4 linked regions of the Anolis sagrei genome follow. The protein of the gene in region 2 interacts with the protein of the main gene of each other region in a pairwise test. Links are inferred from orthologs where the notes say so. Each region holds a gene or a part of one and is shown on either strand. Other genes may lie near its edges. The genes, in order: SFI1, CCDC57, tyrosine-protein phosphatase non-receptor type substrate 1-like and TMEM100.

What was found.
Region 1: the proteins of CCDC57 (region 2) and SFI1 interact in a two-hybrid assay, tested with the Homo sapiens proteins (2 studies listed by BioGRID). The two-hybrid records come from large-scale screens. The link is inferred for Anolis sagrei from reciprocal best matches to the Homo sapiens genes CCDC57 and SFI1.
Region 3: the proteins of CCDC57 (region 2) and tyrosine-protein phosphatase non-receptor type substrate 1-like interact in a two-hybrid assay, tested with the Homo sapiens proteins (2 studies listed by BioGRID). The two-hybrid records come from large-scale screens. The link is inferred for Anolis sagrei from reciprocal best matches to the Homo sapiens genes CCDC57 and SIRPA.
Region 4: the proteins of CCDC57 (region 2) and TMEM100 interact in binary tests that used the Homo sapiens proteins (3 or more experiments, as listed by UniProt). The two-hybrid records come from large-scale screens. The link is inferred for Anolis sagrei from reciprocal best matches to the Homo sapiens genes CCDC57 and TMEM100.

The regions. Positions count from the first base shown.
Region 1 is NC_090034.1:49,408,910-49,416,414, forward strand, and holds the start of SFI1 (protein SFI1 homolog), read right to left. Parts: upstream 3,015-7,505; 5' UTR 2,760-3,014; coding exon 2,733-2,759; intron 1,307-2,732; coding exon 1,284-1,306; intron 1-1,283. UniProt on the Homo sapiens protein: Plays a role in the dynamic structure of centrosome-associated contractile fibers via its interaction with CETN2.
Region 2 is NC_090022.1:114,236,398-114,243,288, forward strand, and holds the start of CCDC57 (coiled-coil domain-containing protein 57), read right to left. Parts: upstream 3,018-6,891; 5' UTR 2,884-3,017; intron 2,695-2,883; 5' UTR 2,619-2,694; intron 1-2,618. UniProt on the Homo sapiens protein: Pleiotropic regulator of centriole duplication, mitosis, and ciliogenesis. Critical interface between centrosome and microtubule-mediated cellular processes. Centriole duplication protein required for recruitment of CEP63, CEP152, and PLK4 to the centrosome.
Region 3 is NC_090024.1:239,827,573-239,835,046, forward strand, and holds the start of tyrosine-protein phosphatase non-receptor type substrate 1-like, read right to left. Parts: upstream 3,011-7,474; 5' UTR 2,535-3,010; coding exon 2,508-2,534; intron 2,437-2,507; exon of another isoform or gene 2,233-2,436; intron 1,855-2,232; exon of another isoform or gene 1,852-1,854; coding exon 1,764-1,851; intron 1-1,763. UniProt on the Homo sapiens protein: Immunoglobulin-like cell surface receptor for CD47. Acts as docking protein and induces translocation of PTPN6, PTPN11 and other binding partners from the cytosol to the plasma membrane.
Region 4 is NC_090022.1:143,440,600-143,448,023, forward strand, and holds the start of TMEM100 (transmembrane protein 100), read right to left. Parts: upstream 3,018-7,424; 5' UTR 2,922-3,017; intron 1-2,921. UniProt on the Homo sapiens protein: Plays a role during embryonic arterial endothelium differentiation and vascular morphogenesis through the ACVRL1 receptor-dependent signaling pathway upon stimulation by bone morphogenetic proteins, such as GDF2/BMP9 and BMP10.

The sequences.
Region 1 (7,505 bases), on a different chromosome or scaffold from region 2:
GAGGACCATGGATCAAGAGGTGAGGGGAAGTTGGAGGCGGAAGCAGGCTTTTTTCTCCTGTCCTGGAGACTAGAACGTGGAAGAATGGCTTCAAACTCCAGGAAAGGGAATTCCACCTGAACATTAGGAAGAACTCCTAACAGTGAGAGCTGTTCAGCAGTCGAACTCTCTGCTCCGGAGGGTGGTGGAGATTCCTTCTTTGGACGCTTTTAAACAGAGGGTGGATGGTCATCTGTCAGGGGGGCTTTGAATGCGATTTTCCTGCTTCTTGGCAGAATGGGGTTGGAATGGATGGCCCACGAGTTCTTTTCCAACTCTATTATTCTATGATTCTATGAAACTTGGCACACAGATCCTTCATGACCAACCGAACATACTGGAGGGGTTTGGCGTGGACTGACCTACCCTCGTGGGAGTTGTGATGGACTTGAACCAAGTTTGACACACAGACCCAACAAGGCCAAGAGAACATTCTGCATCCAGAGAGCATAATGAATCCCAGCAATGACAGACATGGTGTAATATTCATAATTATGTCATATTTATATTTATTTATTTAAAAGTTTTATATACCAGTCTTCTCGCCTCCAAGAAGGTACTCAGGCTGGTTCACAACATGTGTTCATATACAGTAATATACAATACAGCACAATGCATCATCATTATATATTAAAATATAAGTACAATAAAAACATCATCATCACATTACACAAGCCAAGTTGTCAATACAGTCACAATTCATCGCCATCCTTCCATGTGGACAAGGGTTATTGACTCAATCCTCAAATGCCATATATATATTACATAAAGATATATTCACATATTTACAGAAATTAAAACATGCTTTAAAACATAATATTAGTAATCAAAAACCATTATAAGGATTTAATTAAAAACAGTCCACTTCTTAATAACAATAAATACTGTAATACTAAAATAATGACTACAAAGAAATATTCAAATATATAACATAAATTATACATCATATAATGAAATATAGTACAAAATTAAAATTATACCTTAAAATGATAAATATGCATTAAATATTATAATAATGTAATATCATAATACATGTTAATATAATAATAAATGAGAACAAACAAATCATTAAATAAAACCTTAGGCCTTGAAATATTAAAACATTATAAGTATTTAAAATATTATTTTAGTATTTAAAATATTTTAATACATAAAATATGTTAATATTTAAATTATTGCTTCAATCAGATAAGAGAAATAAATCATTAAATAAATTAAATAAACAAAATAATGCTTTTTCTTACCTTTTCTTTGAGGTTTTCTCCATCTAAATAATAATAATAAGAAAACAATAAAATATTAAAATAATAAAAATAATAAATACATAATAAAAAGATAAAGGTTTCCCCTGACATTGTCTAGTTGTGTCCCACTGGGGGGGGGGGGGGTTATCTACATTTCTAAGGTGAAGAGCCGGCATTGTCTGTAGACACCTCCAAGGTCATGTGGTTGGCATGACTACATGGAGCACCATTACTTTCCCGCCAAAATGATACCTATTGATCGATTCACATTTCCATGTTTTTGAACTGCTAGGTTGGCAGAAGCTGGGCCTAACAGCGGGAGCTCACCCCGCTTCCTGGATTCGAACCACCAACCTTTTAATCAGCAAGTTCAGCAGCTCAGCGGTCTAACCCACTACATAATATTAAACTATAATAATATACTTTAATAAAATTATTGTTTCATCACTTAACTTTTTAAAAAGGGTTTAAGAAGTTATTGAAAGAAACAATTTAAATAATTTAGAAATACATTTAAAATATAAATATATAGGATAAAAACATAGAGATTTTAGGATATTTATGACATTGAATCTGACTTTTTTGGTTTTACCGGCATGTATAATCTACTGTCTAATGAACTGTATAATGGGCTTGAATTATTTTTAGTGTTTTAATGGTTTTTAATGCTTTAATTGTACTTCGAATTGTTTATTTGTTGACATCGTATGGTGCTTGTGTGAGGCCGCCCTGAGCCATGAAATAAATAAATAAATAAAGAATCAGTTTATATACATAGTAAAAATCTAATAATATTTAATAACAAATAATAATAATACATTTAATAAATAATAAATATGAATAAGAATCAATAAAATATTGATAAATAAATAAATAAAATAATATTAAAAGCATTTATTAATATTTAATAATAAATAAAATAATAAACAAATAAATTAAATATAATTGATTTAAAATTTAAAAACAACAATAATAAAATAAATATTTTAATAATATTTAATAAGAATAAAATATAGAATATTGAACTCCAATACTGGAGAATCGGTTTATACACATAGTAACAATCTAACAATATTTAATAAGAATTAAATATGAATACTAATTAATATTTAAAAATGATAAAATACGTAATATTAACATTATTCTTTAAACCATTAAAGACAAATGCACTTTAATATTAGTAAAGGTTTACTAAATTCGTTTAAAACTTTGTTTTTAAAATATTTAAATAATGTATCCATACCTCTATCTATCTATAATAATAACAATAATAATAATAATAATAATGACCACCTCAACAAAAGTTTGCTCTAGGCACTGTCAGGCCATTATATGCTAATCAAGGTGGTCAGTTGAAACATTCACACCTAGCTCCAGCAGACAAGAGTCCTTTGTCCCACCCTGGTCATTCCACAGGTATATAAACCCTTTTTCCTAGTTCCAACAGACCTCACAACCTGTGAGGATGCTTGCCATAGATGCAGGCGAAACGTCAGGAGAAAATGCCTTTAGAACATGGCCATATAGCCCGGAAAAACCTACAACAACCCAATACTAATTTAATTGGAGAAATAGCTCACAAGGCCTCCCTCCTTCCAACGAATTCAAACTCGGAGAGTCCAACTGTCTATCACAAACGCCTAAAGCAATCCCTTTCCCTTTCCTTATACAAGAAACTTGTTAGAGTAAGACTTTAGCAATCGTGTCCGCACTATGAAAAAAAAACCGCGCTTTCACCTAGCTAGGGTTGCTATGGCGACGTAGCGAAACCGTCAGGCGAACACGGAGGGCACCTCGAACAAGGCTGTCCAAAAGTGGGGTCCTCCGATAGGAAAGCGGTTGGGAGTTTGCGCATGCGCACGATGTCTTTCGAGAGAGGCGTTCAGTCGCTAAGGCGAGAGCACATGCGCAATGGGAAGAAGCGAGAGAAGGGGCAAAACAGTGCCGCGCGTGCGCAAAAGGCAGAACGCAGAGGGAGAGGATTACGCTGCGCGTGTGCAGCTGAGAGGCAAGCCCTTGGACATGAGGGCCGTGCTGCGCATGTGCACGGGGAATGAGCGAGGAAGCAAGCGATAGCAGTGACGCGCATGCGCAAAAGGGAGAACGCTGAGGCGAGAGGCGTGTGCTGCGCGTGCCCAAAGGGAATGAGCGAAAGAGCGCGCGGGGAGGGGGGGGCGGACAGCGACGCGCCTGCGCGGAAAGGAGACTTCTGCCCACCAACGGCGCCTGATCTTCCGGTGTGTCCCCGGCAGGCCGCCGTCATCGGCGCCTGCGCGGCGGGCATTAAAAGGGGACGGGGGGCGGGGCGCGGAGCCTTCCTTCCTTCTTTCCTGCCTGCCTTCTTTCGGTTGATGGCGGATCCCGAAGAGAAAGGAGGAGCAGAAGGCCAAGCAGAAGCAGAGCAGCGCTCCCGGGCAGGCTCCGGAGGACCCCGCAGGTCGCGCGCCCGCGCAGGGGGCCTCTCTAGACCACAGCCCAGGTAGGCTCTATGGTATGGGAAGAGGCAGAAGAAGAGCAGAATCTATTATCCCATTATTATTCTGTTCTAGTAATATTCTCTAATATTATTAATATTTTCTTCTATTATTATGTAATACTATTCCTATTATTTTACTATTATGTTCTATGTTCTATTATTATCTACCATTATATTCAGCTATTAATACAGTATTATATTATTTTATTGTTGTTATTCTACTCTATTCTATATATTCTGTCATAGCTCCAACAGACAAGAGTTCTTTGTCCCACCCTGGTCTTTCCACAGATATATAAACCCCATTTATATACTATTATATATATATATATATATATATATATATATATTCTATTTATATATTATTATTATTTAATTACTTTATTTATTTATTTACTTTATTTATATCCCGCTGTTCTCAGCCCTTAGGCGACTCACAGCAGTTAACAACAAGAACAGCAAAAATTCAATGCTACCATAACACGGTATAAAAAACAGTTAACATCATAACATATTATAGAAAGGTATACAATTAACAACAATATACAATTAACACCAATAGCCATTATTATTATTATAGAACAGAATTGTTGTTATTCTACTCTATTCTATATATTCTGTCTTAGCTCCAACAGAGAAAAGTTCTTTGTCCCACCCTGGTCTTTCCACAGATATATAAACCCCATTTATATTCTATTCTATATATATATATATATATATATATTCTATTTATATATTATTATTATTATTTATTTACTTTATTTGTATACCGCTGTTCTCAGCCCTTAGGCGACTCACAGCGGTTAACAACTAGAACAGCAAAAATTCAATGCTACCATAACACGGTATAAAAAACAGTTAACATCATAACATATTATAGAAAAGTATACAATTAACAACAATATACAATTAACACCAATAGCCATTATTATTATTATAGTACAGCACAACGACAGAGAGGAAACAAACAAGGACGTCTAATCACCTCTCAACGAAGGATTGCTCCAGGCTCTGCCAGGCAATCAAATGCTAATCAAGGTGGTCAGTTGAAACATTCACACCTGGCTCCAACAGACAAGAGTCCTTTGTCCCACCCTGGTCTTTCCACAGATATATAAACCCCATTTATATTCTATTCTATTTATATATATGTGTGTATGTATATATATATATATATATATTCTATTTATATATTTATTATTAATATTTATTTACTTTATTTATTTATTTACTTTATTTGTATACCGCTGTTCTCAGCCCTTAGGCGACTCACAGCGGTTAACAACAAGAACAGCAAAAATTCAATGCTACCATTACACGGTATAAAAAACAGTTAACATCATATTATAGAAAAGTATACAATTAACAACAATACACAATTAACACCAATAGCCATTATTATTATTATAGAACAGCACAGCGACAGAGAGGAAACAAACAAGGACATCTAATCACCTCTCAACGAAGGATTGCTCCAGGCTCTGCCAGGCAATCAAATGCTAATCAAGGTGGTCAGTTGAAACATTCACACCTGGCTCCAACAGACAAGAGTCCTTTGTCCCACCCTGGTCTTTCCACAGATATATAAACCCCATTTATATTCTATTCTATTTATATATATGTGTGTATGTATATATATATATATATATATATATATATTCTATTTATATATTTATTATTAATATTTATTTACTTTATTTATTTATTTACTTTATTTGTATACCGCTGTTCTCAGCCCTTAGGCGACTCACAGCGGTTAACAACAAGAACAGCAAAAATTCAATGCTACCATAACACGGTATAAAAAACAGTTAACATCATATTATAGAAAAGTATACAATTAACAACAATACACAATTAACACCAATAGCCATTATTATTATTATAGAACAGCACAGCGACAGAGAGGAAACAAACAAGGACATCTAATCACCTCTCAACGAAGGAGTGCTCCAGGCACTGCCAGGCAATCAAATGCTAATCAAGGTGGTCAGTTGAAACATTCACACCTGGCTCCAACAGACAAGAGTCCTTTGTCCCACCCTGGTCTTTCCACAGATATATAGGCCACTTTCCTACTTCCAACAAACCTCACTACCTCTGAGGATGCTTGCCATAGATGCAGGCGAAACGTCAGGAGAGAATGCCTTTAGACCATGGCCATATAGCCCGAAAAAACCTACAACAACCCAGTGATTCCGGCCATGAAAGCCTTCAACAATACATTGTCATTACATTATTTTATTTTATTCTATTCTTTTATTGTATTTTAATTCTATTCTATTATTAATATAATCCTCTATTCTATTGTTGTTGTATACTATTAGTAATTATTATTCTATAATTATTTTATTCTGGTTTTGGAGGGAACATTATTATTATCATTCTATTATTACATTTTCATATATTCGGTTTTTTTTTTTGGGTCGTGTCAGGAACGACAAAAATATATTCGGATTTTGAATGGTATTTCTGTTGTTATCACCCTATATTATTCTATCTATCTATATAAATAAAAATGTAATGTTCGTTTGTGGGATTAACCTAACTCAAAAACCACTGGACAAATTGACACCAAATTTGGACACAAGACACGTATCAGGCCAACAAGTGACCATCACTCATAAAAACAGCAGGAGAAAATTAAAAAGCAAAAAAAAAAATACATTACAACGCATGTGCAAAACCACATATGCATACAAATACATATATACACATACACAAATATATACAGGCATACATATATGCACACTCAAAACACATACACAGAAAGGGGGAAGGAAGGAAATAAGGAGAAAAACAGGGAGAAAAAGAAGGAGAGAAGGAAATAAAGTGAAAGAGGAAAGGAAGGAGAGAAGGAACGAAAGAAAGAGGGAGGGAAGGAAAGTAAGAGACAAGGAAGGATGGAACCAAAGAGCAAAGGAAGCAAGAAAAGAAACAGGTAAAGAAGGAAGAAAGAAGAAGGAAAAGAAAAAGAGGGAAAGAAAGAAAGAAAGGAGAGAAAGAGGGAGGGAAGATTGGCCACAGTAACGTGTGGCAGGTACAGCTAGTTATTATTATTATTATTATTATTATTATTATTCCTTTGCGTTCTTATATTATTATTCTATCACATTATATTATGTTATTCCATTTTACATTACATATTATTGTATATTATTAGATTATTCTGTATTAAATTATTACTATAGTATTATCACATCACACCATTATTCCATTTTACATGTTATGTTATATATTATTGTATTATAATATTATTATATGTTATATTATTTTAATATCTTATTTTATTATTATTATAAGAATGCTAATAAATAATAATAAACTTTATATCCCGCCTCCTTCTCCCAGAAAGGGACTTGGGGCGGCTTACAAGGCACTCCAAGTGCAGTATATAACATAAAATGATAAATGAGTATTAAACATTGCATAAAAATTATAAAAGCAGCCACTATCAACACATAAAATAAAACAACACAATTTTAAAAACGCAGGCCATCTGTAGTTAAAACTAGCTACCATCAATTCTCACCTAAAGTGTCAACCTCAGATGGGCCCATTTCAGCCTACTCGAGGCCAAAAGCCTGCTTAAAAATCCATGTTTTTAGGGTGGATGGGAAGGATTCAAGGGTGGGGACTAACCTAATCTCTTTTAGGAGGTTATTCCAGAGCCGGAGAGCCACTACAGAGAACCCCCCCCCCTCATCCCCACTTGAGACAGTAGTGAGAGAAGAGCCTCCCCTGCC
Region 2 (6,891 bases):
TTGTAATTGTTTTGTTATGTATTGTTATGGCTTAAAATCATGAGTAAAAGTGTTCTCTTAAATTGGCAAATATATTCATAGGTGAAGGAAATAGGAAATAATGGAACAAAAGACTATGTGATGTAAGAGGAATCACCTGTGATGCTTCTCTGCAAAACTTAAAAACGTACTTTCTCTCAGATGATATTACAATACGGAAACATTAAGGCTGGATCTACACTGCCATATAGTATAGTTTCAGAACATGGATTAGCTGCATTGACTTGGATTATATAGCAGTATCGACTTGTATAATCCAGTTTAATGTAGTTAATCCACGTTCTGAAACTGCAATATATGACAGTGTAGATCCAGCCTAAAAATGTCTTCAATGGGAAAAAAGAGTGTTGGATAAAAGTGTGTCAAAACATGTATTTCCTGCAGTAGGAAACTAAGGCATAAAACCTTTTTTCTTCCTCCACAAAAACCCGAAAAGTGGGGTAAAGTGGAGCTGAACATGGCTTTTCATAAGAGTTCTGATGCAATGTATAGTCACTGAACTGGCTACATGGGGATTTCAAGGCTCACTTTCTTGTTCAGTAAGCCACAATGACCTGTCTGACTGGAAATGTTATGACTAATTTCCTACAGTGATTGCTCAGATTAACACTAATTTCAGCATTATAGAGAGTCACTTGCCAAAGGAAAATGTGTTCTCTTGAAGTATTCTGATTCTGAGAATAGAGCAAAGGGATACCAGTCATAAAATAAAATAAAATGTCCTAGAGGTTTCCTGTCTCTTTAACTAGAGTAACATGACACTAATTTCAAGAGACAGGAACCTCCTAGGACTGTAATTGTAATTTGTGTAGTAACAAGTTGATTACAAGGTGAGCTCAGAGATTGTGTTTCTGTTTCTTTGCTTAGTAGTGGCAGGCTAAAATGTTTGAAACTTTAGAAGTACTTTAGGCAGTGTTGTGGTAGTGATGGGGGAAAGAGTGGTTTTGTATTTATTCTATTGAGTCCCCATTTACACAAACTGTAAAATCCAGAATGATGTGGATTATAAGCAGGGACGGCTCATCCATTACGCGAAGTAAGCGGTCGCAGAACACTTTTTTTTGCCAGGGGCTGCTACCGGCTGTTAGGATTTGTGGGTGTTGCAGTCCAAAACACCTGGAGGGACAAAGTTTGCCCGCGTCTGGTGTAGATACACTGATAGAAGCACATTTATGAGTGCAAGTCTACATTCTCTTATTGAGAAGACACATATAGTTAGAGACATAGCTCAGAAGTATCAATGTACTTACTCTATTGATGCGGGGCTGGAATTAGGGTGCTTTTAGGCTTTTTTTCCCCAGCAAAGGAATTTTATGGGAATCAAGCCTATTATTTTCCTGTTTGTTTTACCACCACTTTGCGTTCTATTTTCCTATAAAAGGATTTTCTAATATGTTAAAGAGGAAATGGTTAATTGTTTAGGAAGAGGTACTTCTATCTTTTGCGTGCCTCTGAGCTGGAGGGGGGCAAGCGGGGGAGGAAGCTGGATATGGATGAGGAAGGTAGTGATTGTCTCATCAGTTCTAATCTCATGAGGATTAGATACCTACACTGAGGAAGGTTATTTAAATAGCAGTTAAATACTATTAGCTTGCTGGAGATCTCTGGTTAATCAGGTAAATTGTGGCCTTTTGTTTATCAAACAGCTCGATTCGCTATTAATTTCTTCCTCTTTATGCAATAAATCACAGAATCGCAGGGAAGCAGAAGACATTGTGTCCAAATTGCTGCCCTGCCTTTCACCCACATGATCCATCAATCAACTGAAAATTTAGTGTATCATAAGTACAAAGCCAGGTTTCTGCCAAAGACGGAGAGAGAAAAAGAGAGAAAAAGACTAACGGCACGTACAGAACAAATATCTCAGAATGATTCATATATCTGGGCTTGGCTGCTTGCCAAAAGGTTGCATTAGTTTTTCATACTTCCAGTAAGTAACCAAAACTTAAAGATGTAATGCTGCCTTTACTCTCACAGCTAATTTTATTATGATTTTGGGGTTAACTACAAGCAAATTAAACGTGAAACATGCACTTTAAGATCCCAATCTTTTATAAACTCTAAAGTAAATGTTTTCAGCCCTGATACAGATGAGGACTGGGGATCATATTTCCTCACCCAAAGCTTTTTGTTTTGTCACAGTGTCTAGCTGCTTCCTGACAATGCATCCATTTCATTTGCAAATATCTTAATTACTCAACAACGATTACTGTCTATAGATCCTACAAATTCAAGTTCACAACATATAAAATGAATTAAAAGCAATTGGATCATGTCATATAGGCAGTGTTTGTTTCACGTTTCCCCTCCCTAACACAGAAGTTTTCTCATTCTGACTGCCTCAAAAACAAAACAAAAAAACACAACAACAACAATGCTGTAATTATCAAAATCACACAGGTCATTTGCAATTAGCCATGTTGATTGGCATTGAGTAGTCTTGCAACTGCAAAGCCTGGCTGTTGCTTCCTGGGGGCAGCAACAGCCCCCAGGCAGCAACGCCAACCATCACCCATGTCAAAAAAAGAAACACAACTAAAGCTCTGACAGAATATGCAAACATAATATGCGAAGCCTACCTCCTCCAAGGTGAACTGAACCACCTTAACTGGGCTCTACAGACCAATGGATACTCCACTACAGACATCAGAAGAGCTGCAAGACCAAAAACAAGCCATGAGAGTAAAGACAAAGATCCACCCAAAGGAAAAGTATCTTTACCATACATTAAGAGAACCACTGACTGCATTGGGAAGCTGATGAAGAAACACAACCAATCTACAGACCCACCAAGAAAATCCAACAAATGCTACGTTCAGCAAAGGACAAGAGGGATCCTCTTACCTCTGCGGGAGTCTACTGTATACCATGCAGCTGTGGATAAGTCTACATAGGAACCACCAAGCACAGCATTGTCCAAACACAAATCAAAGAATATGAAAGACACTGCAGACTCCTTCAATCTGAGAAGTCAGCTATAGCAGAGCACTTGATGAGTCAAGCTGGTCACAGTATATTATTAAGAACACATAAATGCTGGACCACTCCAACAACTACCATATCAGACTACACAGAAAAGCCACTGAAATCCACAAACATGTGGACAATTTCAAGTGAAAGGAGGAAACTATGAAAATGAACAAAATCTGGCTTCCAGTATTTAAAAAAACCACCAGAATTAAGACAGTAAATAAAGAACACTAATCAGAAATGGGAATGTCAGACAGCTAACAATCAAGTTTCAGTTTATACCTCCCAAACAAAGGATGCCCCCAAGCAGCAACTGCCAAGCTTTACAGCTAATTGCATCACTCACACTGGCCAGCTAATTGCCAGCTAATTGCATCATTCACTCTGGCTTAAAACAGACAAGAGTTCTTTCTCCCACGCTGGGCATTCCACAGATACACCCCACTGGCCTCATTTCCAACAGACCTCTGAACAAACTTCTGAGGATGCCGGCCATAGATGCAGGTGGAACATCAGGAGAGAATGCTACTGGAACATGCCTATACATGAGTCCCCATCGGGGTTGAGAAGGGTGGTATACAAATACAGTAAATAAATAAATAAATAAATATCATTGCCCAAAAAACTCACAGCAACCCAATATTGTAGACCTCTGCAAGTCAAATTGCCTGGTACTTTTATGGATGTAAAATCAACTTTTGACTCCAGAGGTAAATTATGGGAAAGACTGGACAATATTTTTGTCAATGAATTACTTGCAGGCACACAATGACAACAGCAACCTCTGGAAGGAGGCAAATGGTGAGTATTCAAACACTGTTCAGTATAAAGTGTAGTAGGTTTCCTGGGAACGCCGTCTGTACGTCTTTGTGTTAAAACACTAACATCACCTGGTTTTGCTAAAGGTGCAAACCTATTTTTCCTTGAAATGTCAAATGCAAATAAAGTCTACAGTGCAATATAGTCATTCAGTTTGCTTTGTTAGAGATGGTTTGATCTCTGGTGTTAGTGGATTAGTTAATCCCTTCCCCCTTTTTGTCATGCTAATGACAGAGCAAAAGGCAGACCCAACAGCAAGACTTTTTGTTCACATGAAGGGCCTGTTATTCACAGAGAAAGTGGAGGTTAAACATTGATCAGCAGCAAAACCCCTCTTACAAGCAGCCGCTCCCAGAGCAACCAAACAGTGAGCAACTAAGCAATTAATCTGTGTAATTAAAAGTTGTAAATAGTCAATAAACCATTAAAACTATAAAGCTGTTAGCACAGGACTATAAAATAGTAAAATTGTGGGGTATAAAACAATAAAACTTAGGCGATAATATCAAACAAGATTAAGAATTCCTAGCAAAAGCAGATTTTCAGCAAAAAAGGGAAAAAATGCCATTCTAGTAATCCCTCAAAACTGTTAAATCTCTTTTTAAACAGGTGCAGTTTATCCCTGCGTCTTTTAATTATTCTTTTGAAAATTGTGACTCTTTTGAAAATTGTAAACAGACTTTTGGCCATTTTCAGTTTTAGTCTGCTCCTGACTGGATGATCAAGAGGAGAGGATTATTCATTTTTACCAATAGTTTATGAGAATTAATATCAGAGGGAGAAAGAGGCTAAGTCTGAACTACAGAGCTGGATTGTTATATACCTTGTGTTGTTAAAGACTTTCATGCCCGGATTCACTGGGCTGCTGTGAGTTTCGGGCTGTATGGGATGCCTACCATAGATGTGGGTGAAACTTCAGGAGAGAATGCTTCTAGAACATGGCCATACAGCCCGGAAAACTCACAGTAACCCACTGTTACATGCTTTACATGCCATTACTCCAGACTCAGACTTTGTAAAAAATTGAAGATTCCTCTTAGGGCCCTTCCACACAGCTGTATAACCCAGAATATCAAGGCAGAAAATCCCACAATATCTGCTTTCAACTGGGATATCTGAGTCCACACTGCCATATAGTCTAGTTCAAAGCAGATAATGTGAGATTTTATTCAGCTGTGTGGAAGGGGCCTTATTACCCTTTTATGGTGATGATTGAGTATTATCTCAGATCCATTTTAGTAGCCTTTTTGGGTACTTCAAGGGTTGCTAGGCTACCAACTCTATTTGGATGCTATTCATTTATTTAAATTCTTGTTGCTGTGTGCTTTCAAGTCATTTCTGATTTATGGCAATCCTAAGGCAAACCTATAATGCAGTTCTCTTGGCATAATGTTTAAGTGGGGGGTTGCTTTTGCCTTTGTCTTCCTTTGAGGCTCAGGGCCCTTCCACGCAGCCCTATATCCCAGGATATCAAGGCAGAAAATCCCACATTATCTGAGTGTGGACTCAGTGCCCTTCCACAAAGCCCTATATCTCAGAACATCAAGACAGAAAATCCCACAATATCTGCTTTGAACTGGGTTATCTGAGTTCACACTCAGATAATGTGGGGTTTTCTGCCTTATTTTTCTGGGATATGGGGCTGTGCGGAAGGGCCCTGAGACTACAAATGATTATTTAGATGTATACTACCAATAGAGAACCAATGTGTCACAGTGGCTTGAATGTTGGGCTAGGGGCACTTCCACACAGCCCTATATTCCAGAATGTCAAGACAGAAACTCCCACATTATCTGAATGTGAATTCAGATAACCCAATTCAAAGCAAATATTTTGGGATTTTCTGCCTTGATATTCTGGGGGGCCTTCCACAGACCTATATCCCAGAAAATCAAGGCAGAAAATCCCACATTATCTTTGAACTGGGTTATCAGAGTCCACATTCAGATAATGTGGGATGTTCTGCCTTGATATTCTGGGATATAGGGCTGTGTGGAAGGGCCCTTAGTTTCAGAGGAAAGCAAAAGCAACCCTCTCTGAACAAACCTTGCCAAGAAAACTTCATGATAGAGGGCACGTAACAACAATCCTCAGATAGGCCTCCAACATAGAATACTATGTGAATCTGGTTTACTTCTTGCTTACTGTAACACAGGTGAATATATTTCTTGTCAAGTGTGAGGTAGGGGAAGGAATAGAGAGATACTTGACAAACATACAGTATAAGAATATCAGAAGATTCCTTCAGTGTTAGGGCAAAAGTTCATTAGTCAGTATTCCACTTTCTGCAATGGCTGATGCTTGGAAAGATTTTGCAAAAGTACCATGAAGAGAAATAGTTGTCCAGTGTGGTTAGTCATTATAGTGGCCAGAATACTGGATGCTGACCTATACCACTGTGTGTAAGCCTCACTAAGCCACTGAACTTTTTATGGCCTTAGACTCCGATCCTTGGATGGTGTGTTTTAACATAGGAATGCATTTTAATTATTTGTAATACGTATTAATTTTAATCCAATTTGTTTTTAAGTTAGTATTCTATGTTTTTAAGGCACTGTGGAGATGCCACCTGTAAGCTGCCTTGAGTCCCCCTTGGAGTATAGAAAAACAGGAATAAGGTAAAAAAAGTGTAGCTTTGGGGGCATTTCATTGTATTTTTCCTCAATATTTTAATTTCACACTACATCCATTGTATATTGTCTAGAAATCTTACTGGGAGTATCTCTACTTTATTAATTGGGAATTTACCTTGCCATTTTTTCCAGCACTCCAGGGATGAGATCATTGGCCCCCTTTAATTTCTTTTAGAGTTTTATTGTCAATCCATCCTTTTAAGCACAAACAATGATCCCATCCATTAATTGTTTTTTTTTTCCATTCTGGTCCATCTTCTTGAATCATCAAAATCTAATTCTATCAATCTTGTTAACTGATAGGCCTCAAAATAATTTTGCAAATTAGGTGTACCCCATCCTCCCATCCCTTCTGGAGAGTAAAATATTGAATTGGGAATGTATATATTCAAGGTTTCAGATGAGCACATATGATCAAATGGCTTCTGGT
Region 3 (7,474 bases), on a different chromosome or scaffold from region 2:
GCAGTGGACTCTCATTCATAGGTATGCCATAAACTGAAGGTCTGTCAGTTTATCATAGAGTAGCCATAAATTGAAGTTGACTTGTCAGCAATCAATCACAACACTATAGAAATGAATAGATTCAACACAGTCCTGAGTTTGCAAGACCTGAGCAGTGGACTCTCATTCATACGGATACCATAAACTGAAGGTCTGTCATTCATAGGGATACCATATGCTCAGGTTGACTTGTCAGCAATGAATCACACCACTACAGAAGTGAATAGATCTAACATACTATTGAGTTTGCAAGACATGAGCAGAGGACTCTCATTCATATGGATGCCATAAATTGAAGGTCTGTCATTCATAGGGTTGTCATAAACTGAAGTTGACTTGTCAGCAATGAATCACAACACTACAGAAGTGAATAGATTCAACATAATATTGAGTTTGCAAGACCTGAGCAGTGGACTCTCATTCATAGGTATGCCATAAACTGAAGGTCTGTCAGTTTATCATAGAGTAGCCATAAGTTGACTTGTCAGCAATCAATCACAACACTACAGAGGTGAATAGATTCAACACACAGTCCTGAGTTTGCAAGACCTGAGCAGTGGACTCCCATTCATAGGCATGCCATAAACAGAAGGTCTGTCAATCATAGAGTAGCCATAAATTGAACTTGACTTCTCAGCAGTGAATCACAACACTACAGAGGTGAACAGATTCAACACATAGTCCTGAGTTTGCAAGACCTGAGCAGAGGACTCTCATTCATAGGGATGCATAAACTGAAGGTCTGTAAATCATAAGGTTGCCATAAACTCAAGTTGGCTTGTCACCAATGAATCGCAACATTACAGAGGTGAATAGATTCAACATACAGTCCTGAGTTTGCAAAACCTGAGGCAGGGCTGTTGATAACAGGGAGAGGTGGAGATCTTTCATTCATGAGAACATCATAAGCCGAAGCTGACTTGGCATTGATAAACCACAAGGCAACATTGGGGCAATGCCAGCCCACCTTATATGGGAACCATATGGAAATGCACATCAAATGCTCTTTGCCTGTTAGAAAGCCATGGATGGAAGTGGCAGAGATGATCATCACGGCCATCGCCACCTCCTTAATTTGATAACAAACTCACAAGATAAAGCGCCTTATCTCCCCAGCCTCTTTCCGCTCTGCGCCTCCTTGGTTGGCAAGCTCGGTGGGGAAAGGGCACCTCCTCATCATCTCACAAATGCCAGATGGACTTCGCAGTGTCCTCATCACCAGCTCTGCCCCCATCTTTCCCAGATTTGGCACCTCCTTGCCACTAAAAACCCTTTGCCTTTTCCTTTGGCACCAAAGAAAATATTGCCCTCCACATGCGGGCACACACAACCCAGCACCAAAACATAAACAGGCATTTTTTGGAGGGTTGAAAGCAATTCTTATTCCAAGGTTGGATGGCAGCAACTCATCCACTTTGTGTTTACTCCGAAAGAGGGTCCTTTAAGAAAAGGCAAACCTACGCAGCAGCAAACCCAAAACAAGCTGTTAAAAAACCCCACAAACACACTTTGCCTGTTATACAAGAGGGGAGAATTTGGAAGTAAGCAAAGGAGAAGGATTATACAAGAAGGGAGATGCGGAGAAGAAGTCCAGGAGGAGAACAACAAGGAAGGGGATGATCAAAGTCAAAACCAAGAGATGCATCTTTTGCTGAAGACAGGAGGGGGAAAATAGCCAAAGAAACAAACCCACAAGTAAATGCATGAACTCCGAAGAGCCTTACCTGACCATCTCGAAAGCAGCAGTGGTACCCAGAAGCAAATCAGCAGACCTTTGGAATAAATGCCCGGAGCAGCGTCCATGTTCATCTGCTACTGGAGAGGAACCAGGAGAGAAGAAGAGAGGGGCAGAGAAAGAGAGAGAGAAAAAAAGAGTTGCATGAAAACAGAAGAAAGGAGAGAGGGCTGTTTTGTGTAAGGCAGGCTCTCTTCTCTTTTTTGCAGTGTGAAGGGCAGATGAATCAGGGGAAGGAGGGAGGGAGAGGAGGCGAAGCACACACATGCATACGACATCACAAGTCCATCCCCAAAATGAGGAAGCCAGCCCCACTTGGCTTCCTCTGTCAACATAGGAAGAAAAGAAGAAGAGGAAGAGGAAAAAAAATCAGAAGGAGGGGGAGAAGAAGAAGAAAGGGGGAGGAGGGGAAGAAAGAAAGAAAGAAGCCGCCAAGCCCTGCCCCAACCTATTTTTACCAGCTGATGAATCAGAAGTTTGCCACCCTTCCTTCCCTTTCAGATAAAGAAAAGCTTGCAAATGAGATATATTTTCTTTTTCAAAAGGAGGGGGTGGCATTTGTATGTGTGTGTGTGTGTTTGCATGGAGTGGGGGAGAGAACAGCACATGATGCATTGGCCAAGTCTGCAACACCCTTGAGCATGTCTGGCAAGACACGTACACAAACACAGGAAGAGAGAGAGAACGAGAGAGAAAGAGAGAGAGAGAGAGAGAGAGATTGGTGCCCACTCACCTGGCAGAACATTGATGCGCAGCGCATAGATTTGTTGGCATACACTCTGGGGAGTTTCAGGGGAGACTAATGATAGCCAAAGGGGGGTTGCAGAGAGGCTGGGATCAAGGTCCTTGGGTTCAGTCACTCACATGCTAAGCCCGGGGAGGGGAAGGAGTGATGCCCCTTTCCTGTTCCTTCTTTGTATTTCTCTTGCAGGAGAATATCTTCCAAGGAAGCCAAAAAGGCACCAGGCGGGCCAAGCCTGGCAGCTTCTCTCCTCCAGAGCAAACTGGGGGGGAGGAAAGAGAGGGGAAGGATCTTTCTTCTTCTCCCCCAGTCCCCCTTTTCTTCCTCTTCCAGAAGAAATCTTCCCAAGACAGTGCCAAAGAGTGCCAAGGCAAGCTTCTGTTCCTTCTTGGTATTTCTCTTGCAGGAAAATCTTCCCCAAGGAAGCCAAAAAAACACTAGGATGGGCAAGCCTGGCAGCTTCCCTCCTCTAGAGCAAAATGGGGGGAGGGGGAAAAAAGGGAGGAAGAAGGGTCTTTCTTCTTCTCCACCAGTTCCTTTTTCTTCCTCTTCCCCAAGAAAGTGCCAAAGAGTGCCAAGGCAAGCTCTCCAAGCCAAAAGTAGAAGGGGGGGGGGGGATAAGGAGGAAAGGTCTTCTCTTATGATCTTGCAGGAGAAGAAATCTTCCTGAAGGAAGCAGAGAGGATGCCAAGCGTGCCAAGGTAAGCTCTCTAAGTTGGGGGGGAAAGAGGAGGAAAGGCCTTCTCTTCTTATCAGTCCCCCTTTCTTTTTCCCCTTGCAGGAGTGGAAATCTTTCCCAAGGAAATAGAGAGGGTGCCAGGCGTGCCAAGGCAAGCAAGGTGCCAGGCGTGCCAAGGCAAGGGGGGGGGGGGGGGAGAGAGAGAAGGAGGAAAGAGAGAGAGAGAGAAGGAGGAAAGATTTCTTATGATCAGTCTCCTTTACTTCTTCCTCTTGCAGAAGGAGAAATCTTTCCCAAGGAAGCAGCAGAGAGGATGCTAGGTGTGCCAAGGCAATTCTCCAAGTGGGGGAAAAAGAGAAGGAGAAAAGGTCTTATCTTATGATCAGTCCCCTTTACTTCTTCCTCTTGAAGGAGAGGAAATCTTCCCCTAGGGAGCAGAGAGGGTGCCAGGTGTACCAGCTTGGGTACTAGCTTTCTCCTTCGGGGAGAAAAGGAAGGGGCAGAAAGAAAGGTTTTCTCCAGCAGTGCCCTCTTCCTCCTCCTCTTCCAAGGAGAGGTCTTCTTCTTCTTGCCCAAGGAAGCAGAGAGGGTGCCACTGCCAGGTGTACCAGCCTGGGTACTAGGTTGCTCCTTCGGGGAGAAAACAAAGGGGCAGAAAGAAGAGTCTTCTCTAACAGGCACCTCTTCCAAGCAGAGGTCTTCTTCTTCTTGCCCAAGGAAGCAGAGGAGGTGCCAAAGGTGCCAAGGCTAAGTCAGCCTGGGCAGCTTCCTCCTCTGGAGCAAAACGTGGGGAGAAAAGAAAGGGGTAAAGGAAGGGTCTTCTCCAGTACTGCCCTCTTCTTCCTCCTCCTCCAAGGAGAGGTCTTCTTCTTGCCCAAGGAAGCAGTGGAGGTGCCAAGAGTGTCTTCTCCAGCAGTACCCTCTTCTTTTTCTTCCTCCTCCTCCAAGGAGAGGTCTTCTTCTTGCTCAAGGAAGCAGAGGAGGTGCCAAGGGTGTCTTCTCCAGAAGTACTCTCTTCTTCTTCTTCCTTCTCCTCCAAGGAGAGGTCTTCTTGCCCAAGGAAGCAGAGGAGGTGCCGAGGGTGTCTTCTCCAGCAGTGCCCTGTTCTTCTTCCTCCTCCTTCTCCAAGGAGAGGTCTTCTTCTTGCCCAAGGAAGCAGAGGAGGTGCCAAGGGTGTCTTCTCCAGCAGTGCCCTCTTCTTCCTTCTCCAAGGAGAGGTCTTCTTCTTTCCCAAGGAAGCAGAGGAGGTGTCAAGGGTGTCTTCTCCAGCAGTACCCCCTTCTTCTTCTTCCTCCCGCTCCAAGGAGAGGTCTTTTTCTTGCTCAAGGAAGCAGAGGAGGTGCCAAGGATGCAGAGAAGGTGCCAAGGGTGCCTGTGTTCTCCAGCAGTGCCCTCTTTTTCTTCGTCCTCCTCCAAGGAGAGGTCTTCTTCTTGCCCAAGGAAGCAGAGGAGGTGCCAAGGGTGTCTTCTCCAACAGTGCCCTCTTCTTCTTCTTCCTTCTCCTCCAAGGAGAGGTCTTCTTTTTGCCCAAGGAAGCAGAGGAGGTGCCAAGTGTGTCTTCTCCAGCAGTGTCCTCTTCTTCTTCCTCCTCCTCCTCCAAGGAGAGGTCTTCTTCTTGCCCAAGGAAGCAGAGAAGGTGCCAAGGGTGCCTGGGTCAAGTGTCCCTCCTGGCAGGCTCCCTTCCACCGAAGGAGAGGGCAATCAAGGGGGCAGAAGGGTCTCTTCACCTCGGTGCCCCCCCCCCCCCGGGTCCGGTGCCCTCCCGCGTCTCTCTCTTCAGCCTCCCGCCTTCCTCTCGGGCTCCTCTCCCTCTCTCCCCCCTCCGCCGTTGCCTAGCATTGAGGGGCCTCCGGCTTTCTTTTCACAATGTGCCACTTCAGGGGGAAAGAAAGGGGGGTGTTCTTTTTGGGGGTCGGGGAGGGGGGAGGCCTGCCCAGCGTCCTCCCCAGCGGGAGACCGAGCCCAAGCTTTTCCCCAGCCGCTTTGGCGAGTTTGCTGGACCCGAGAGAAGGGAGGAAGAGAAGGGAAGAATCTCTTGCAAAGCAGGGGGATGTGGGAGTCTTGTGGTCGGGCCGGCTTGCTGTCCTCTCCCTCCCGGGCAACTTGTTTTGTTTGGGAGGCTTCTCTCTTTCTTTCTTTCTCTCTTTCTGTCTGTCTTCCTTTCTTTTTGGTAAGGTCACCCCTGCCTGCCTGGCATCAGCCGCACATGGGAGGGGGGGCCTTAAGGTGGGCTGGAAAGGATAGAGGGATGGATGGATGGAGGGATAGATGGGGACAAGGGGGGGAAACGCCCCCGCCTTGGTGGCTCTCCTGCTTTTAGGAGGAAGGAAAGGGAGGGAAAGGAGGTGAGAGAGAGGCAAGAAGAAAGGAGGGAGGAAAGGAGGAGGAGGGGAGGGGAGGAGGAAAAGAAAAGGCAGAGCAAAGGGAGGAGGAGAGGAAAGGAGGGAGACGGGGCAAAGAAGGAGGAGAGAAGGAAAAGAAGGGGAAAGACAAGGAGGGAAAGGAGGAGGGGGAGCAGCAGGAAAAGCAGGCGGAAAAGAAGGAGGAAAAGAAGGCGGAAGAGGAAAAAGGAGGAGGAAGAAATAGAGAAAGGAAAGGAAGGAGGAAAAAGAAGGCAGAGCAGAGGGTGAAGGAGGAGGAATAGGAGGAGGAAAAGAAGAAGGGAAAGGAGATAAAGGAAGAGAGAAAAGAGGGAGAAGGAAAAGAAGGCAGAAGAGAAAAAAGAGGAGAAAGGAAAAGAGGAGGGAAAGGAAGGAGGAAAAGAAGGCAGAGCAGAGGGTGAAGGAGGAGGAATAGGAGGAGGGAAAGAAGGAGGGAAAGGAGAAAAAGGAGGAGAGAAAAGAGGGAGGAGGAAAAGAAGGCGGAAGAGGAAAAAGGAGGAGGAAGAAATAGAGGAAGGAAAGGAAGGAGGAAAAGAAGGCAGAGCAGAGGGTGAAGGAGGAGGAATAGGAGGAGGAAAAGGAGGCATAGAAGAAAAAGGAGGAGAGAAAAGAGGGAGGAGAAAGAGGAGGAAAAGAAGGCAGAAAAGAGGAGAAAGGAAAAAGAGGAGGGAAAGGAAGGAGGAAAAGAAGGCAGAGCAGAGGGTGAAGGAGGAGGAACAGGAGGAGGGAAAGAAGGAGGGAAAGGAGAAAAAGGAGGGGAGAAAAGAGGGAGGAGGAAAAGAAGGCGGAAGAGGAAAAAGGAGGAGGAAGAAATAGAGGAAGGAAAGGAAGGAGGAAAAGAAGGAAGAGCAGAGGGTGAAAGAGGAGGAATAGGAGGAGGAAAAGAAGGAGGCATAGAAGGAAAAGGAGGAAAAGGAGGGGAGAAAAGAGGGAGGAGAAAGAGGAGGAAAAGAAGGCGGAAGAGAAAAAAGAGGAGGAAGGAAAAAGAGGAGGGAAAGAAAGGAGGAAAAGAAGGCAGAGCAGAGGGTGAAGGAGGAGGAATAGGAGAAGAGGAGGCATAGAAGAAAAAGGAGGGAAAGGAGGGGAGAAAAGAGGGAGGAGAAAGAGGAGGAAAAGAAGGCGGAAGAGAAAAAAAGAGGAGGAAGGAAAAAGAGGAGGGAAAAGAAGGAGGAAAAGAAGGCAGAGCAGAGGGTGAAGGAAGAGGAATACGAGGAGGAAAAGAAGGCGGCATAGAAGGAAAAGGAGGAAAAGGAGGGGAGAAAAGAGGGAGGAGAAAGAGGAGGAAAAGAAGGTGGAAGAGAAAAAAGACGAGGAAGGAATAGAGGAGGGGAAGGAAGGAGGAAAAAAAGGAAGCAGAGCAGAAGGTGGAGGAGGAGGAAAAGGAGGAGACATCGAAGAAAAAGGAGGGAAAGAAGGAAAAGAAGGGGAGAAAATGAGATTGGAGAGTTACCAAAAAGGAAGAGGGAATGGGGACAAGTAGGATGGATGCAAGATCAAAAAAAGGAGGAATAAATGGAGGTAATGAGAGATAGGAACGGAAAGAAGGGGAATTAAGAGAAAAAGCAACAGAAGATAAACAAGGAAGGAAAGAAAACAGGAGGGAGGAGGACCAGGAAGAAGAGGAACAGAAGGAGGAAGAGGATACAGAAAGAAGAGAAGGGACTGAAAAGAAGAAGAGGAATTTTATGTGCGTGCACACACTTCATTCAGTTGGACACAGCTGAGCATATTGAAGAAAAAGTTATCTCTGGAGACAACTCAGGGCAGCCAGTGGCCTCAGTGTCAGGCCTGAAGTTCAAGGCTAGAGAGCTGAGAGAGCACCTTGGAGAGATTCTTTGCAACCCATTGTAATGTCGATCCCAGTTCCCTTGTATGAGTAGGCACACCCCTCTTCCAAC
Region 4 (7,424 bases), about 29 Mb from region 2:
AGCCGTGTAGGGCTTCAAAGGTCAAAAACAGCACTTTGAATTCTGCCCGGAAATGGAATGGTAGCCAATGGAGCTATTTCATGATCCCTGGTCAACAGCCTGGCTGCGGCATTTTGAACAAGCGGAAGTTTCTGAACACTTTCCAAAGGCAGCCCCACTTAGGCCCCTTCCACAGGGCTGAATAAAATCCCACATTATCTTCTTTGAACTGGAATCTATGGCCGGGTGGACTCAAATAACCCAGTTCAAAGCAGATATTGTGGGAATTTTCTGCCTTGATATTCTGGGTAATATGGCTGTGTGGAAGGGCCTTTAGAGAACATTAGTCGTCCCAATAGGATATAATCAAGGCATGGGTCACCATTGCCAGATCTGACTTTGCAAAGAATTATTTCCGTGCCCCCCAACCCATCCTCAAATACTGTACATCCAACAACATATTCATAATGCATACTTATTATCCTTCATTTATCTTCCTGAATTAAATTACAAAGCTCCCAAACTCTCATGTGTCTTTCACTATGTCTCTATGTTTTCAGTTTTAACAATGTTAAATGGTTTGAATCAAAGCAATTTGGGTTTAATGTGTTGCACTATGACACACCACGGCTCAGTTCCAAAACTCCTATCAGACAAAATGCTGGAGAACTGAAGTAGTGAGAAAAACAAGTGCCACTGAGCATATGGAGAGTTAGCATCACTCTCCATGAATGGAGTCCTCAGTGGCTCAATGAGTTAAATCCTTGTGCTGGCAGAACTGCTGACCAAAAGGTCGGCGGTTCAAATCCAGGGAGTGGGGTAAGCCTAGTCTGTGAGCTCCAGCTTCTCATGCAGGGACATGAGAGAAGCCTCCCACGGGATGGCAAAACATCTGGGCATCCCCTGGGCAACTTCCTTGCAGACAGCCAATTCTCTCACACCAGAAGTGACTTGCAGTTTTCAAGTCGCTCCTGACACAGAAAAAAAAATCTATCCATGAATAACTACAATAAGACTGCACACAAAGAGGGGTTAAAGGGATGCGTGCGACTTCTTAGGTTGCATCTACACTGTACAGTTAATACAGTTTGATACCATGGCTCAATGCTGCAGGAGTTGTAGTTTTACAAGTTTTTTTTAGAGTTCTCTGCCAAAGAGGGCTGATGCTTCACCAAATTACAAGTATCGGGATTCTACAGATTTGGGCCATGGCAGTCAAAGTGGTGTCAAATTGTATTAATTCCACAATATAGGTGCATCCTAAGTGTGTTTGGCTCCCGACCCTTCTTTAAAGACATTAGTTATCAGTAGTAATATTGATAAGTCAGATCTGAAAAACCTTGTTCGGTACAAAATGTGTTAGCAGTTAAGAAAGTCTAATCTAAAGTATGTTACTCTCATGTAACCCCTTCCTAACTTACTTCCAAGATGACATGTATATAAATACTTGCAGCCTTATTTCTAAATAGGAAAAAATATTATTTGCATAAAGGGGTATGGGAAGGAGTTACACAAATAACCTCACCAGTCTCTCCATCCTGCCCAAATTATATGTGGATTACGGATCCACATAATTGAAGATGCTCTATTCAAAGAAGCAAACACACAGAAACCAAGCTGTCATACGTAACCACTTCCCTGTGTCATATATGATTGTATTACATAAAGGTATAATCTTGTGCGCACAGGACAAGAGGCCCTTCCACACAGCCCTATATCCCAGAATATCAAGGCAGAAAACCCCACAATATGTGCTTTGAACTGGGTTATCTTGAGTCCATATATTCCAGTTCAAAGCAGATAATGTGGGATTTTATTCAGTTGTGTGGAAGGGGCCAAGGTTAGAAGGGTTTTCGACATCCAGAGCACAAAGGATTCACCAAATTTCCATGCTTCTCTTCCGTTCACATTCTTCCTAACTTTAAAAAATCATCTATCTATCTATCTATCTATCTATCTATAGTCCAATGGAAGAAACTGTTCAAAACCAGCAACTCTTGTCTTTCAACTAAAGGATAGCTAAATAACATTAACCTGCTGAATACTTTTTGAATTGAGGGTGCCTCTACTACACTGTAGAATGAATGCAGCTTGGCACCGCTTTTTCTGCCATGGTTCAATGCTATGGAAAAATGGGACTTGCAGTTTGATAAGGGGCCCGTCCACACAGCCATATAACCCGGAATACCAAGACAGAAAATCTCACAATATCTGCTTTGAACTGGGTTATCCGAATCTACACAGACATATATTCCAGTTCAATGCAGATAATTTGGGATGTTATTAAGTTGTGTGGAAGGGTCTTTAGTTTTCGCTGCCCAAACTACAAATCCCAGAATTCCACAGCACTTGAGCTATGGCAGTCAAAGTGGTATCAAACTGCATCAACGCTACAGTGTAGATGCATTTATAGAATTGCAGCCTATTGAAAGAGTGCATAATTCAGGCTGGGGCCCCTTCTACACTGCCATACAAAATCCAGATTATCTGATTTGAACTGGATTATATGTCAGTGTGGAATCATGAAATGTTTTCTCTGCTTTGTTAATCTGGATTATATGGCAAAGCAGAAGGGGCTGGAGGGAGAAAACCACGATTGCCAGATATGTATGCCAGATAACAACAACAACAATAATATTAACACATTCTCTTGGATATAAAAGGATCGTTTTAAAGGGAGCAGAAATTTTTTTTTGTTCTTTGTATTGGAAAGCTCCCGAGCAAGAAGAGACCAAGTTCCCATTTGCTGGCAATCTCCATTTCCATTGAGCAGAGACTTTGCAGACCCCTGTGGGGACTTTCAGTTCCTTGCTGGCAAAAGTTTCTTTCTTGCTTTGCCACCAAACCACTGTAATATTTCGCCCTCTCCTCACCTAACCACCTTTGATAACTTTCCCCAACTTCTCCCCGCTCCAGGAAGCCCAGCGGAGCCCACCACTTACCTTCCCTCGTCCAGAATGGAAGTAAAGCGAGCAAGCACTTGCCCCGGTCTGGAGAGAGGCGCAAGGGAGCGTCTGCAAACTGCGCAGCCGCAGAGGGAACCCAGGGACCGCGGACAAGTTCCCAGCTTCAAAGGAACGCGCGCTGCTCTGCTTGACGGGAGGGGGGGGGGGGGGAGTCCCAAACTGGTACTTGCTGAACAAAACCAGAGCCGCCTTTTGGTGCACCTACACCGCAGAATTAATCCAGTTTTATCACACTTTAAACTGCTTTGATTCAATGCTTTGGAATCCGGTTTGATGAGGCCCCCAGTAATTTTATTATTATTATTATTATTATTATTATTATTATTATTATTTGAAACACAACAAGATGGGTCCACAGCAGACACTCTGCTGGCTGTTGTATTGGATCACACATCGGACTCTTCCCAAGTGTCTAGGACTGTGTGATGTATCGGCAAATAATGCATGTACATCCCAATATGGTGGTCTTTTGCAGCTGGCAGATAAGCAATTTTGTCAACACCAATTGTGTTTAAGTGCAGGCCAAGGTCTTTATGCACTGCACCCAGTGTGCCGATCACTGGGACCACCTTGACTGGCTTGTACCACAGTCTTTGCAGTTTGATCTTTAAATCCTCATATCATGTCAGCTTTTCCAGTTGTTTCTCTTCAATCCTGCTGTCATCTGGGATTGCAACATCCATGATCCATACTTTGTTTTTCAACATGATTGTGAAGTCAGGAGTATTGTTCTTCAAAACTCTGTCAGTCTGAATTTGGAAGTCCCAGACAGGCCCGTAGCCAGGATTTCGTTTCGGGGGGGGGGGGGGGGGGGATGGGGGGGCTAAAAAATTTTCAGGGGGGGTTTCGGGGGGGGGCTGAGTTTCGGGGGGGGGGGCTGAGTCTGAGTGAAAGAGGGTCTAGCCTAGCAAACCTTTTGTATCATTACCCCAATACCCCCATGCATATGGGATATATTGAGTATGGTGATCAGATCATGATATGAATAAACATAACAGTTTAAATAATGCGCCAGTAAGGCCTTTTCACGAACCACCATGAGAATTTCGGGGGGGGGGGGGCTGAAGCCCCCCGAGGCCCCCCCCCCCCCCGGCTACATGCCTGGTCCCAGAGTAGTTTGACCTGCTCATTTTTTGTAACCTTTTCAAGCTTGTGATCCCATCAATTCTTTGTCACAGACAGATGATATTTGTGGCACAAGTTCCAATCAATCATCTGAGCAAAGGTGTTATGCCTCTGCTTGTAGTCTGTCTACGCAATCTTCTTACAGCAGCTGAGGATGTGATCTATTACAACAGCACAACAACAGAGAGAAAACAAACAAAGACATCTAATTACCTCTCAACAAAAGTTTGCTCTAGGCACTGTCAGGCCATTATATCCTAATCAAGGTGATCAGCTGAAACATTCACACCTAGCTCCAGCAGACAAGAGTCCTTTGTCTCACCCTGGTTATTCCACAGATATATAAACACTTTTTCCTAGTTCCAAAACACTTCACTACCTCTGAGGATGCTTGCCATAGATGCAGGCGAAAAGTCAGGAGAGAATGCCTCTAGACCATGGCCATATAGCCCGAAAAAACCTACAACAACCCAATGTGATCTATTGTTTCTACTTCCTTGCAGAGTCTACATTTGGGCTCTGTCATCGATTTTTCATTTCTGGCTTTGATGGCATTTGTTCTAATTGCCTGTTCTTGGGCAGCAAGAATTGTTGTTGTTGTTGTTATTATTACTATTTCTATCCTGCTTTATCTTTCTAAAGAGACCCAAAGCAAGCCTCTTTTTTACAAAGAAACTCATTAGAGGAAAAGAAGGACACAAATGGAATAAGTAAATAAACAACGTACATTATGAGCCTTCACTTCTGGTCGCTTCTTGCAGCAACACCAGAGACACTCCTATTGGCCAGATATTGGTCAAAGGACATATAATCAACTACCAAGCTTGCAAACTTTGTGTTTTGTCTGTCTGTTTGTTAAAAAATGTAATACAAATGTTTGGTTACTCCTGACACGATAAATAAATAATTATGAGCCTTGCTCACTTGGAGTGCACTATCTAAAACGATTTTTTTTCATGTCAGGAGTGACTTGAGAAACTGAAGTCACTTCTGGTGTGAGAGAATTTGCCATCTGCAAGGACGTTGCCCAAGGGACGCCCGGATGTTTTTGATGTCTTACCATCCTTGTGGGAGGTTTCTCTCATGTCCCTGCATGGGGAGCTGGAGCTGACAGAGGGAGCTCATCTGCGCTCTCCCTAGATTCAAACCTCCGACCAGTTGGTCTTCAGTCCTGACGGCACAAGGGTTTAATCTATTGTGTCACTGGGGGCTCCTATATAAATAGATGAGAGATCTGGAATAGTAATTTGAGTGTTAAACTAGGACTTTGGGAGACCAGGGTTCAAATCCCTCCACAGCTGTGGAAACCCATGGGTGACACTAGAAAAATCACACTCTCTCAGCCTCAAGGAAAGACAATGGCAAACAAATCTTGACAAGAAAAACCTGTAATAGCTCTTTTTCCCCCAATATTTGTTTCCGTTAGTTGAAAACAAACCGGATGCGCTTTCGTTCAGGGTCCTGAACAGCTTCCATGGGTCTCCCAAAGAAGTGTAGATACAGACTTTCTTTAGAAAATCACAGTCTTTTTTTCTCTCGCAAGACACCCGCCCTCAAGAATTATCTATTATTGACCAGGACAAGTTACTCTCAGGAAGGCTGCTTACATAAGGGCTGAGTTTTGCTTGGCCCCATGAGCCAGAATGCTGGAAGGAGGGAGCAGATCTATTTCTTACGAAGGAGTTGGAGGGAATACCACTGGCATATTTTCCTTTTTATCATCGCTTCCTCGAATAGCGAACTCAGGTGGTGAGTGGTGACAGAAAGGCAGCCAAAACGAAGAGCAAGGTATCAAGCAAGGCAAGGAGAAACATGGGTCATGCAAAAGTTTTTTTTTAAAAAAACTCACAAAATAGAAGGACCAGATATGTTGGCCACAGAATGCCAACAGACAGAATAGGAAAGGGGGAGGCTTGGCTGGTTGCTTGCCTGATTCCTGCTAGGAAACGAGGCTGAACTTCATCATGTATAACATGTCTCATTTCATGAGAATATGGACTCAAGGAATGAAGTCCCTTTCTTTTACATTTCTTTGCTTTTAAATAGAAATCATCCATTCCAGGAGGCAAGTCTGAGGGGACCAGACACCAGCTCCTTTATTTGCCATGTACAATTTTCTTTTCTTTGGTGACATTTGATGAAATGTTAAATCACAACACCTAGCAATTTCATGTATTTACCTACAAGTAAAAGCATGAAGCCCCCAGTGGCACAGTGGCTGAGTTGCTGAACTTGCTGAGCTAAAGTTCAAATCCGGGAAGCGGGGTGAGCTCCCGCTGTTAGGCCCAACTTCTGCCAACCTAGCAGTTTAAAAACATGCAAATGTCAGTAGATCAATAGGTACTGCTCTGGCGGGAAGGTAAAAGCACTCTATGCAGTCATGCTGGCCACATGACCTTGGAGACATCTACAGACAACGCTGGCTCTTTGGCTTAGTCATGGAGATGAGCATCAACCCACAGAGTCGGACACAACTAGACTTAATGTCAAGGGGAAACCTTTACCTTTACCTTAAAAGCCTAAATCAAAGAGATTTTACTTTCACTTCCACAATACTTGTGGGAAGTAGCAATGTCAGCTGTTTGCCACACCAAGAAATGTAGTCCTGAAACTTACCATTACTCAGAAGACTTAAACAGGGAAAAATGTATGGTATTACATTTAGGCAATTATAATGAAATACACAGATATGGCATGGGCAACATTTGGATTGAAAACGGTATGTGTGAAAGGGATCTAGGAGTCTTAATAGATCACAAACTAAAGATGAGTCAACAGTGAGAAGCATTAGCTTAAAAAGCCAATGCAATTCTAGGTTGCAAGAACAGGAAGTGTTGCGATAGTCTAGTCTAGTCCCTCCCTATTCTATTTTGGCCAGACCTCATCTGAAATACCATGCCCAGTTCTGAAAAATGTGGACAAGCTCAAACACATCCAGAGAAGAACAACCAAAATTATCAAAATTTAGAACCCAAGCTCTACAAGTAGCAATTTTTGGTATCTTTAGCTTGGAAAAAAGAAGACTGGGGGCGGGGGGGGGGGGCATTATAGCTATATCAAAATATTTGAAAGGATGTTGCACTGAGAAGTGGGCAAGCTTGTTTTCTGCAGCTTTGGAGACTAGGGCATGGGGCAATGGATTCAAATAGCAGGAAAAGAGATTCCACCTAAACATTGGGAAGGACTTCCTGACAGAAAGAGCTGCTGGACAATGGATTATTCTGCCTCAGAGTCTGGCGGAGTCTCCTTCTCTAGAGATTTATAGGCAGAGGCTGGATGGCCATCTGTTAGGAGTGCTTTGTGTGTTCCTGGACTGGATGGCCCCTGTGGTCTCTTCCAACTCTATAATTATCT